Canis lupus familiaris: one gene and its partners. The protein of the gene in region 2 purifies or fractionates together with the protein of the main gene of each other region. This does not show direct contact. Links are inferred from orthologs where the notes say so. Each region holds a gene or a part of one and is shown on either strand. Other genes may lie near its edges.

Evidence for each region.
Region 1: the proteins of RPL7L1 (region 2) and REXO4 purify together in Homo sapiens (affinity purification with mass spectrometry; 3 studies listed by BioGRID and IntAct, with this or other methods). This does not show direct contact. The link is inferred for Canis lupus familiaris from reciprocal best matches to the Homo sapiens genes RPL7L1 and REXO4.
Region 3: the proteins of RPL7L1 (region 2) and PES1 purify together in Homo sapiens (affinity purification with mass spectrometry; 4 studies listed by BioGRID and IntAct, counting the BioPlex papers as one, with this or other methods). This does not show direct contact. The link is inferred for Canis lupus familiaris from reciprocal best matches to the Homo sapiens genes RPL7L1 and PES1.

The regions. Positions count from the first base shown.
Region 1 is NC_049230.1:49,885,864-49,889,089, reverse strand, and holds part of REXO4 (RNA exonuclease 4), read left to right. Parts: intron 1-627; coding exon 628-765; intron 766-995; coding exon 996-1,189; intron 1,190-2,480; coding exon 2,481-2,569; intron 2,570-3,226.
Region 2 is NC_049233.1:11,631,482-11,635,697, forward strand, and holds the start of RPL7L1 (60S ribosomal protein L7-like 1), read left to right. Parts: upstream 1-1,307; 5' UTR 1,308-1,573; coding exon 1,574-1,614; intron 1,615-2,228; coding exon 2,229-2,337; intron 2,338-3,020; coding exon 3,021-3,184; intron 3,185-4,194; coding exon 4,195-4,216.
Region 3 is NC_049247.1:24,078,626-24,082,933, reverse strand, and holds the start of PES1 (pescadillo homolog), read left to right. Parts: upstream 1-1,367; 5' UTR 1,368-1,454; coding exon 1,455-1,478; intron 1,479-3,655; exon of another isoform or gene 3,656-3,670; coding exon of another isoform or gene 3,671-4,063; exon of another isoform or gene 4,064-4,078; intron 4,079-4,308. Other genes in the region: 40S ribosomal protein S24-like, read left to right, coding at 3,671-4,063. UniProt on the Homo sapiens protein: Component of the PeBoW complex, which is required for maturation of 28S and 5.8S ribosomal RNAs and formation of the 60S ribosome.

The DNA of each region.
Region 1 (3,226 bases), on a different chromosome or scaffold from region 2:
CAGGTGGGAATGGTCACCCTTGCGTGTGCAATCTAGCCTTGAGGCCTCGATGTGACGACACTAGAGGTTGCTGGTGGGCGAAGTGGGGGGAGCTGGGCAGGGATGTCTGGGTTTCCATTTCCTACTCCTTGGAAATGTTCCTTACTAAATGTTCCATGATGAACCTACTACTTCCTCGACATGGGGGGAAAAAAGTTAGTACTCATTATACCTGGGTTGTATGTTTGTAATTGACGTCCTTGTTGTTTACTTGTAGTTCTTAATTTCTGGATAATGAGCTCATCCTGTAACTAAAAAGAAAAGCAGGGTGCCATGCTGGGCAAACAGCAGGAGTAGCTGGGCCGTTGGGTGCCCCCCCCCCACCCCCAGCTGTACCAGCACCTCCACTGACCAGCGTGCCTGGCCTGTTCTCTGCCTTTTTATTTATTTATTTATTTTTAAAAGATTTTATTAATTTATTCATGAGAGACACAGAAAGAGGCAGAGACATAGGCAAAGGGAGAAGCAGGCTCCATTGCAGGGAGCTTGATGTGGGACTCCATCCCAGGACTCCAGGATCACGCCCTGAGCTAAAGGCAGACGCTTAACCACTGAGCCACCCAGACGTCCCTGTTCTCTGCCTTTTAGAGAAGACATCTGGTTTGATGATGTTGACCCCGCGGATATTGAAGCAGCCATGGGCCCAGAAGCAGCCAGGATAGCAAGACAGCAGCTGGGGCAGAGCGAGAGCAGCACCACGCTGGTGAAGGAGCAGGCCTTCGGCGGGTATGCACACAGGGCCGGGGCCCCTGGCAGCACTGAGCCCAAAAGGGCAAGGGTTTGGGGAAGGAGCTCTGTCCTCCCCGACTTGAATCAGGCAGGCGCCACCCTGTCCTGCGAGGAGCGTTGAGCGCAGAGAGCTGGTCCCTCGAGCAGTGGTGAGGGGCGGAGAACTTTAGGTGCCGATTGCTGGGTCCTGCCGTGTTGGTTAAACTGGAATCTTTGGTTCCTTTCAGCCTGACGAGAGCCTTAGCCATGGACTGTGAGATGGTGGGCGCGGGCCCCAAGGGGGAAGAGAGCGTCGCTGCCCGAGTGTCTATTGTGAACCAATATGGGAAGTGTGTTTATGACAAGTACGTCAAGCCCACCCAGCCGGTGACGGACTACAGGACGGCGGTCAGCGGGATCCGGCCAGAAAACCTCAAGCAGGGTGGGTCCTCCCAGCTCATGAGCACAGAGGAGAAGCAATGCCTGAGTCCCTTCTCCCTTTTTTTTTTAAGATTTTATTTATTTATTCATGAGAGAGAGAGAGAGGCAGAGACACAGGCAGAGAGAGGGGCAGGCTCCATGCAGGGGGCCGAACGTGGGACTCAACCCTGGATCTCCAGGATCACACCCTGGGCCGATGGCAGGCGCTAAACCACTGGGCCACCCGGGCTGCCCTCCCTTCTCCCTTTTTATTTTGTTAAGTAACCTCTTTACTTAGTGTGGGGCTTAAACTCACGAACCCAAGATCGAGTTGCACACTCCAGCAACCAAGCCAGCCAGGTACCCCCTCTTTTTCTCTATGTCCCCTTTCTTTTGGGAGCATTCGCCACAGCAAGAGTCCCGAGGGGTGACCCATTTTCAGATGGCTCTTGGGCACATTTGTGTCCCTGCCTCTGTGTCACCCAGAGAGTATATGCTGGTGAGGGGGGCAGGAGAGCAGGTAGACCCTACAGGGTCTCGTCTTTGTGAGGATTTTCGGAAGCCATGCAAAGGTCTGAGCAGTGAGAGGCCCAGCTCAGCTTCTAGCAGGTTCCTTCTGGCTGTGGTGTCGAAAATAGACTCCTAGGCCCATGAGGGTGGAAATAGGAAGAGGAGGCATGTGCTAGTGGTGACCTGGTGGGGGGGCGGCCCGAACCCAGATGCACCCTGAAGGCAGAGTCTGTAGGTTTTCTGATGGATTGGGTGTGGGGGAGGAAGAACAGAAAGGCCCCCAGGGTGACTCCGAGGTTAGGGACCTGGAGAGGTCCTGGAAGCTTTCAGGATCGAGGTCACTGTCCCTTCTGCCCCATGCAGTCTCCTTTCTGCAGCTCTCAGGTTCCCTCTGTACATCCAACCAACAAGTGGTGCTGCAGCCTGACCAGCCCCTCAGCTCCAGGCCCTGACAGGTCCTGCTCAAGGTGGGCTGCCCCTGATCTCATCTCCTCTGTTGGGGACAGGCGGGGTCACGGGGTGACCCGACCCTTCCCTTGGAGGAGGGGGCGGGGTGACCCCAAGGGCATCTGCTAGGAGAGCAGGCACGCTGCTCCCTGTGGGGCTGAGTGTCTGGAGCAGCACTCCTCACCATCCGTGGTAAAGGACCATTTTTGTTTTTATTTCCAGTTGGAAAGCTTGAAATCCCAGCCTGATTCTTACAAGATTCAACAGTTAAAATTATTGTTGGGTGGCCCTGAGTGCTTCTGAAAGCCCACCCTCGTCCACGTTGCTAAAAACCACTTCTTCGTTCTGCTTGTCAGGAGAAAAATTCGAAGTCGTTCAGAAGGAGGTGGCAGACATGCTGAAGGGCCGCATTCTGGTCGGACATGCGCTGCATAACGACCTGAAGGTACTGCCGCCTGCTGCGTGCACGCCTCATGCCGTGGAGGGGCTTGTAGGCCATAGTCACAGTACCAGGTGCAACTTAGCGAGTTCTTCCCCCGTCCTGGGAGTAGTGCTAGGCATTTTTCAGTTCTTTAAAAGGCGTCTGAGGCCTTCATGCTCCTGTTGTAGGCGCTGGAAGCAAGGTGCTGTGGGTTATGCGACATGCCCACTGCTCAAGCACATTACATGGAGGGGAGCCAGGCTGCTGCCTCTGCAGCTTCCACCCAACTGGCCAGGCCTGGGACTCCACAGAGGTCAGAGCGCCGTCTGTGGGGAAGCGTCCCCTAGGGCCACTCCCCCCACAGCCACTGGGCCGTCTGGGGCTCCTCTTATCTCCCCAGAAGGGGCCACTTCTGGTGCCCCAGAGGCTGTGACATCCAGCCTCTGCTCCTTGAGGGTCTCTGCTATGGGAGGAACTGAGCCACCTTAGATGAAAGCAGCAGGGCAGGCAGAGTGGGAGGCTGCCCTTTCTGGGCATGGCGTTTCCATGGAACCCTGGGGTTCTCAGACATTTCAGGCACGCTGGAATGTCAGCCTGTGTTGCCTTTTGAAATTTTGAAGTATTGAAACTGCTGGCAGGTCCTCTGCCCACTGCAATGCGGTGCTACAGACCCTTAGTGGC
Region 2 (4,216 bases):
GGATACATATACGTACACTGTGTTACATATTTGGCAATGCCTGGAGACATTGTCACATCTGGGGTGCGGATACTACTGGTATGTAGTTGGTAGAAGCCTGGGGATGCTGCTAAACATCCCACAATGCATGGGACAGCCCCCCATACTAAAGAATTATCTGGCCCAAAAAAGCCAACAGGGCTAAGACTGAGAAACCTTTGTTAGACCTTTAGCAACCACCATGAGCAAAGCAGGCATGGTCCCTGCCCTCCTAGTATCATGAGGAAATGTTTAAAATATAATAATGTGTGAGGGGCACCTGGGTAGCTCAGTGGTAGAGCATCTGCCTTTGGCTGGGGTCTTGGTACCGAGATCCTAGGATCCAGTCCTGCATCAGGCTCCACGACGGGAGCCTGCTTCTCCCTCTATGTCTCTGTGTCTCTCATGAGTAAATAAAATCTTAAAAACATATATATAATATAATAATGTATTGAAGGAATTCAGAGAAAGACACTAGAGTCTTGCTAAAGTTCAGCCCATAGACTTGAAGCATGGCATCACCGGGAAGCAGGCTAAAACTGCACAGTATCAACCCCCGGCCTCCTAGTGAATGAAAATCTGCATTTTAACGGGACCCTCAGGTGACTACGATGCATATTAATGCTGGAGACACCCTGCACTGGGGGTTTCCAGAAGACAGAACGTGGGCTATTTTTCCTTGTTTAATGAAGACCGGGAAAGAAGGAAGCAAATTCCGGGTGTTGAGAGGTATATAAAGAAGATCCCGAAACGGGCAAGGAGGAATTTCTATTCAATCCAACATAGCGTTTGCCTGCTTACCGCCAGGCATCGTGCTAAGCTCTCTAAATGGAGTATTTCACAGAATCCTCGGAACGCTATTGGGTAGGTCCATCTTATGGGTGAGCAGACCAAGGTACAGAGGTTAGATAACTTGCTCCGGGACCCACTGACTGTCTACCGTGCGGAGTCGTCCACGAACACCTCCACCCACACGGACGAGCCAAAGTCACGGCCCCAGCCCTCCCCACCCAGCAAAAAGCCGATCATGCCAGCCTGTCGTCCTCTCTCTTTTTTTAAGATTTTATTTATCCATGAGAGACACACACACACAGAAGCAGAGACACAGGCAGCGGGAGAAGCAGGCTCCACGCAGGGAGCCCGACGCGGGACTCGATCCTCGGTCTCCAGGATCACGCCCCAGGCTGAAGGCGACGCTAAACCGCTGCGCCACCCGGGCCGCCCCAGTCCTCCTCGAACTCGCGCCGCCAACCGGAAGTCGGAGGAGCGGCGCGCCCTCCACACCGGAAGTCGCAGATGCAACTTGGGAAGCGTTTCCTTGTTTATAAGCCTTGCCACCAGTGTTCAACGAATATAGTAAACGAAGAGAGCGGCTTATGAAGATGACACGGATCCTAAAGTGCTTGGAAGCTCTGTGCAACTTCGGCCGGAATCTGTGTTAGCGGCAGCTAACGGCGCCAGCTGTCGGGGGCGGTCCTCCGAGGGCTAGAAGACCCATCTCTATGGTCAAGCAAACCGAGAGCGGTCCTCTCTCCCCCACGTGGTGGGGCTGCGCATGAGCAGTAGCCGCTGCTCGGGAAACATGGCGGAGCAAGAGTGAGTGTTCGGGCTTTGAATCTCAGTGGGGTCTTGAGCATCTGGTGCCATCCACGGTGTTTATTCCTCCGCGGCGCGAATAGAAGGGTTCTTGTGGACTGAAGGAAGGACAAGAGAAAAGACTCCAGATTTCAAAGGGTGGGATGAGGAGTAAAGCCGTAGGGTTCGGGCTGACGGTCAGACGGAGGAAGCCGCCGTCAAGCCCGAGTTACCTGGAGCGGCGGCGGCGGGCTGAAGAGTGCCGGACTTGGGTTCGCTCAGCCTGACGCAAGTACTACCCCTGCAGATGAGTCTACACCCATCCTAACCCCTCGGGGTTTCTCTAGAATCACGTAGCTGCTAGTGTCTTTAAAAGGCTGTGGCAGTAAAAGCTCCATGGAGGCCTAGGGAGGGCCAGTGGCCCCAGGGTTCGTGACCTTTCACTGCTTTAGGAACGAGGGTTCCCTCGTTAAGGGGTCCATCTTGAGGACTGAAGTCAGAAACCACAGGTTTCAGGGAAGTCTGGCTTTAGGAATTTGAAGAGAGTAAGGTTTCTCGAAGCCCAAGAGATGATTCAGAATTTCATTTATGATTTGCTTTTTAGACACTTTCGCTGATTGCGATTTTCTTATCAGGCAAAGAAAAAAGATCCCTTTGGTTCCAGAAAATCTCCTGAAAAAGAGGAAGGCTTATCAGGCCCTTAAAGCCACTCAAGCAAAGCAGGCGCTTTTGGACAAGAAGGAGGTAATGATGGGGAACCAAGAGAGGGGAATTGGAATGTGTGTTTGGTGAGTTCTGTGTAGGGTGTGTTAAACTAGATTTGGCGTCGTCGACGGTGCTGTCGCCATCAATTCTAACAGGTGTACGGTTCGTGTCTTCGTTTAACAGGTGTTTATGAAACGCTTTCTGCAGGTAAAATGCAGTAGAGTTTGGTAAGGAAAAAGTGGAGTGGAGATTGTACTATAGGTTCATACCAAGTGATTTGAAAGACCACACATGCTTGTGTACCTGGAAGAAAATAATATTATACTTAAAGGTGCCAAACAGTTTTTTGCTATTTGCTAAACGTTTTTGGAAAACAGATATTTTGAAGTCAGGAAAATGAAACAAGCTCATGCTTATTCTGTACCTCATGATGCTTAACCCAATGTTAGGTTCCATAAATATGTGTTGGTAAACGCTGGCTAACAGCATGTAAATTAACTTGTTTATTTATCAGAGGCTTTTCCTAGGAGTTTCAGAGTTTTCACACTTCCATCTTCACTTGGGTACCTCATTTTTCCTTTAAATAGAATAGAAGGTGTTTGTTTGCTTAGGTTTGCGGGACATAATGGAAAATACATTCAATCGAGAGTGCCTGATGAATTACTATTGTAGAAGTAAAAAATAGAGGCACAAAATGGTGATGATGGTCTCCCTTCTTTCAGCAGAATAAAGGAAAAAAGCTCAAGTTTAAGCGACTGGAGTGGTTCCTTCATGATTCCTGGCGGCAGCAGCGTGACAGGGTGCGCCTCAGACGCCTGGAAGTGAAACCTCATGGCTTAGAAGTGCCAGATAAACATTCCTTGGCCTTCATTGTACGCATCCAAAGGTGGGGAACTTGCCACATTCCCAAGGCTGAAGCAAATTGTTGGTTCAGCTTTAGACTCCTTTCTGGGGGAAGTGAGTTATAATAGGCTTTAAGCCACTCGGGCAAGTTGTGCTGGGAATTCAGGGTCAAGCACAACGTGGTTTTTGTCTTTAAGGTTTTAGGAGAGTGACCTTAGGCAAACAGACATGAAAATACACCCAGTGCTGTGAAGGTTGACTGTTGTTGGAGCAGTACTGGTTCAGGACACTCTAAAACAGGGCCTTGAAGCTGAGACCTGCAAACATGGAAGGAATTCACAAATTTCAAGGAAGGCTTTCCAGGCATAGATGCAGAAAGTCCTGAATTGAGAGAATCAAGGCTTCTTTCTAGGAACTGAACCAAGGTCAAGTAAATGGAACGTATTTAGTGCTGGGGAGAGTTCATAAAGCTTTTTTCTCACTTAATTGTACTTTACCCAGTCTACCTGCATGTACAGCTGCCTCCCTCTTTCCAGTACCCAGGCACCCAAACCAGAAAAGTGTGTGCTTTAAATATTTTTGAGTCCTCGTTATTAACCTTCCTACCATTTCTCATAATTTCTTTCCTGGACTGTCGCATTAGCTTCCTGAGTTTCCCTGCCTCTGATGTCACACTTTCAGATCTGTCTTATATGCTCTCCTCAGTGATCATAAAGAAGAAAGGTGATTGTGTTTCCTTTCCCTAAAGTCTTTGTGCTGTTACTGCCCAGGCAGCAAGTCCAGCTTCCTTTGCTTGACGTTCACAGCCCTACACACACACTCACACACCCCCAACACACACTGAATCAGGGCCTCCCTCTGTGTTCTTATAGCACCTCAGGCATTGCTCCACATCATGTGAGAATGATTGTTTACATAGCTGCCACCTCCTGACCTGTTAGACATAGTCTGTGTCTTGCTCTCTTGATGCCCTGTAGTGGCAAACATTTTATAGTTGCTTGCTGGCCTTACGTAAACTGAATAAAGCCTGACGTCCTCTGCTGTTCATTTCAGGATTAATGGGGTGAGTTCACTG
Region 3 (4,308 bases), on a different chromosome or scaffold from region 2:
TTCGGGCCAGGGGACAAACTTCCAGCCAAGAGGCAGGCTTTTCCTCCCCATAGAGCTGCCACAAGGTAGAAGATTGCAGCCTGAGCAATCGACGTGAAAGTGTTCCAGTAAGACCATACTCCTTGAAAAGCCCTTAAATGAAAGTAAAGGAAGAGAAGAGAAAGCACTTAGCAAGTTTGCACCCAAGCTCGGAGTCCAGATGAGGAAGACCCAGGCTGCATGTTGGGACAGCAAAATGATGTGAGCTGTTGGGGTCTCCAGGATCAGGCCCTGAGTGAAAGGCAGATGCTCAACCGCTGAGCCACCCAGGCGTCCCTAAGGTTGCCTTTTTGCCTCTAGCAAAATGTTAACGTTGAGGCAGCTGAGTTCCTGGAGGAAGGTCACCCTGTCTGTCCCAAGTACTTGTCAATGGGCTGTACATTATACGGAAATTTAGGTTTTTTTCCTGTATTTCTTTCGCCTTTGGTCTCCACATCACACACCATCCAAAGGTGGGGTGAAGATTTGTATAATCCTCATAATTATCCTTTGAGGAACACAATATGGAAAGTAAAGCTCAAACATGCTGAATGTACATTTAAAATATACCACAGGGACGCCTGGGCGGCTCAGTGGTTGAGCGTCCGCCTTCAGCTCAGGGCGTCAGGCGCCCCTGGGGAAGCTGCTTCTCTCGGCCTAGGTCTTTCTCTCTCTCTCTCTCTCTCTCTCATTCTCATGAATAAATAAATAAAATCTTTAAAATATATATATACCAGAGTTCTATAGCTCTGCTTCGCCTTTTGTCATTTGTCACTTCACCGCTAAGGCTCGCGACAGAAAAGTGGCCTCTAGGGTTACCATGCTTCTCTGAGGAAAAAATTCTGCTTTTGATCTGCTTCATCCCCCTAAGAGCCAATGAACCAAAGGCAAAGCCCCCGGCCGCCCCCGGAAAACACAACCCAGCCTCAGTCAGCGCCCCCGGCGGCCGCTTTTCCTCGGGAGGAGCCTCGTTCCCACGGTGCCTAGCAACCGTTACCGTGACAACACGACCGGCGCTCGCGCACCTCCCAGCGAGGCTGTCGTCTGCATCCCAGAAGGTACTGCGCTGTCGCCAAGCCTTCCGCCCCCCTGCATCCCAACATGCAACGGGGTTCTATTAAAAATCAAGCGAGCGTCCCCAGGATGGTTATAGGAACGCCTGAATATCTGTGTTCGTTTAAACATGAAAACTGACTGTCATATGTTCACAGACGAGAAAGAACTCTAAAGAGAGGCCTCGGTGATCTTTTTCAGAAAGCTCAGTTGTAAGTTTTCGAGGAGGAAAGCCAAATATTTCCCAAGACTCGTTCAGGCACATCATCGGGCAGCCCGCAAGGCCCGCGGCGTGGGGGCCTCGGGGCCCTAGGCAGGGCACGTGCGAGAGGAAGTGGCGCTGTCAGTCCGCGCGGCGCTGGTAGACCCTTCAACGTGGAGCTATGGGAGGCCTGGAGAAGAAGAAGGTGAATGAGGCGGTATCCCCGGCGGGGTGGCGCTGGGGAGAGGGGGGCCGGGCGGGAGATGGGAGCGAGGGAGCCAGGGGACTGGACCTTTCCCGGCCGTGGCCCCTCAGGTGTTCAGAAACGGCTGTGACCTATGCGATGAGAGGCAACTATGAGAAAGGGTGCGAGGATGGGCGAGGGTGGCAGTACTCGTCCGATGAAGTCCGGGAAAGAACCTTGGAGTAGGGCTGTAAATGTTGGGAGTTGCGAAGGAAAGCTTCACTCCAAATGCAGACCGGGCCGGAAGACAACTGTTTACTGAAACAATAATAAACGTTACGTAAACTTTACTATTCCGTCAAGTTGATGATCTCCAAAACTCGTTATTCCCTTCCCTGTTAAACCTGCCCTGGATGCTGGGGAGGGAAACATAAACAGTCAGATGTGGCCCCTGCCTTCCCCGAGCTCACTTTCTAGCGAGGAAAGAGGGTTAACACTGAACAACCAAATGAAACGATCACAGATTGTTAAATGTGATATGAAAGAGAAGAGCGGAGAATATAGAAGAATACTTACGTCGGTTAGTGTCGTGTTGGAAGGTCTCTCTAACTCAACGTTTGGGCTGAAATCCGAAAGATCAGAAGATCTCAGATGGGTTCTGGGGCCTGGGAGTTCTTAGCGAGCAAACCTGACGGAAAACTCCCTAGCAAGACTGTTAGGTGGGAAAGGCTTTCTGTGTGCAGAAAATTAGAAGGACATCAAGGTGGTTGGGGTATGGTAAACCAAGGGAAGAATGGCATTTGTTGAGGTTAAGGTTAGACAGGGACCAGATGTGGAAGGCCTGGGAGCCAACGTGAGGAGCTTGGTTTTTATTCCAAGTGCAGAAAGCTTCAACTAAAGGGGAAGTACCATGGTCGTTTTTTCAAAGATTTGTTTGTTGCTGTATGGAGGATCACCTTAGTGGTATGAAAAGATTGGGGAAGGGGTGAAAGTGAGGAAGATGCAGTTGCCTCGTGTTTCCTTCAGATTGTAAGTTTCTGTTGTTTATGTTTAACCCAGCACGCTGTTGAACAACCAGTAAGTGCTAGTGTCTGGAATTACAAATATATAAGATGGAGGGATGCCTGGGTGGCTCAGCCGTTGAGCATCTGCCTTCGGCCTCAGGGCATGATCCTGGAGTTCCAGGACTGAGTCCCACAACCGGCTCCCTGCAAGGAGCCTGCTTCTTCCTCCACCTATGTCTCTGCCTCTCACTCTGTGTCTCTCATGAATAAATAAATAAAACCCTCTAAAATAAATAAATAAGATGGATAATCTTCCCTTGCAGCATGGATGCAGCTATGTATACAAACCACGACAGGGTTTTTTTTTTTTTTTTTTTTTTTTTTTTTTTTTTTAAGATTTTACTTATTTGAGAGAGAGCATGAGCAGGGAGGTAGAGGAAGAAGCAGGCTCCCTGCCGAGGAGGGAGCCTGGCATGGGGCTCTGTCCCAGGACCCTGGATCATGTCCCAAGTCAAAGGCAGATGATTAACTGACTGAGTCACCCAGGCACCTCAGATCATGACAGGTTTTTTTTTGTTTTGTTTTGTTTTTAAGATTTTTATTTATTTATTCATAAGAAATATAGAGAGAAAGAGAGGCAGAGACACAGGCAGAGGGAGAAGCAGGCTTCATGCAGGGAGCCCGACGTGGGACTCGATCCCAGGTCTCCAGGATCACACCCTGGGCTGAAGGCAGGCACTAAACCGCTAAGCCACCCAGGCGTCCCCATGACAGTTTTTAATGCTGGGTTTCACAAGCATTTTGAGCCAGATAATGCTTTGTTGTAGAGTGCTGTCCTGTGCATCATAGGGTGTTTAGTAACATCTTGACCTCTTACACACTAGATGCCAATGGCACTCAACAATCCAAAATGCCTAATTCCCTTCCCTCCATCCCATACACAGCCAGGGAGTAAAACCATCCCAGTTGAGAACTACTTAACCACTTGATATTTAAAATAATAAGCATGATGACAGACACATATGTGATGTAAGGCTATGGGAAACACTTTTAATGAACAGTTAGCTTTCTGAGACAGACTGAAGCTCATCTTTGTATCTCCAGTAAACAATGTCTGGAGGAAAGAATAAATGGTGTATTTTGTGACAGGTAGCAGTAAGACAGCGAAGGGTTATAAACATACTTTCGGCTTGAAGCTCGGCCGCCATCATGAACTACACAGTAACTATCCAGACCAGGAAGTTCATGACCAACCAACTGCTTCAGCGGAAACAGATGGTCATTGATGTTCTTCTCTCCGGGAAGGCAACAGTACCTAAGACAGAAATTTGGGAAAAACTAGCCAAAATGTACAAGACCACACCAGATGTCATATTTGTATTTGGATTCAGAACCCATTTTGGTGGTGGCAAGACAACTGGCTTTGGCATGATTTATGATTCCTTGGATTATGCAAAGAAAAATGAACCCAAACATAGACTTGCAAAACATGGCTTGTATGAGAAGAAAAAGACTTCAAGAAAACAGCGCAAAGAACACAAAAACAGAATGAAGAAAGTCAGGGCGACTGCAAAAGCCAACGTTGGTGCTGGCAAAAAGTGAGCTGGAGATTGGACAACAGAAGGAGTAAAGATTCTGCAGTGGCTTTATCTGTGGTGATCGTGCAGATTTTTCATGAGAGGATTAATAAACTAAGAACGTTAAAAAAAAATAAACATACTTTCAAGGGGCTATAGGTTTCTCTCTTTAGAGCTGGACTGGCCGTCAAGGTACCTGCTGTCTTACTGCAGAGGATGATCGTGTTTGGAAAGACATTCCTGGTACAATGCACTGCTACTCTTTATCAT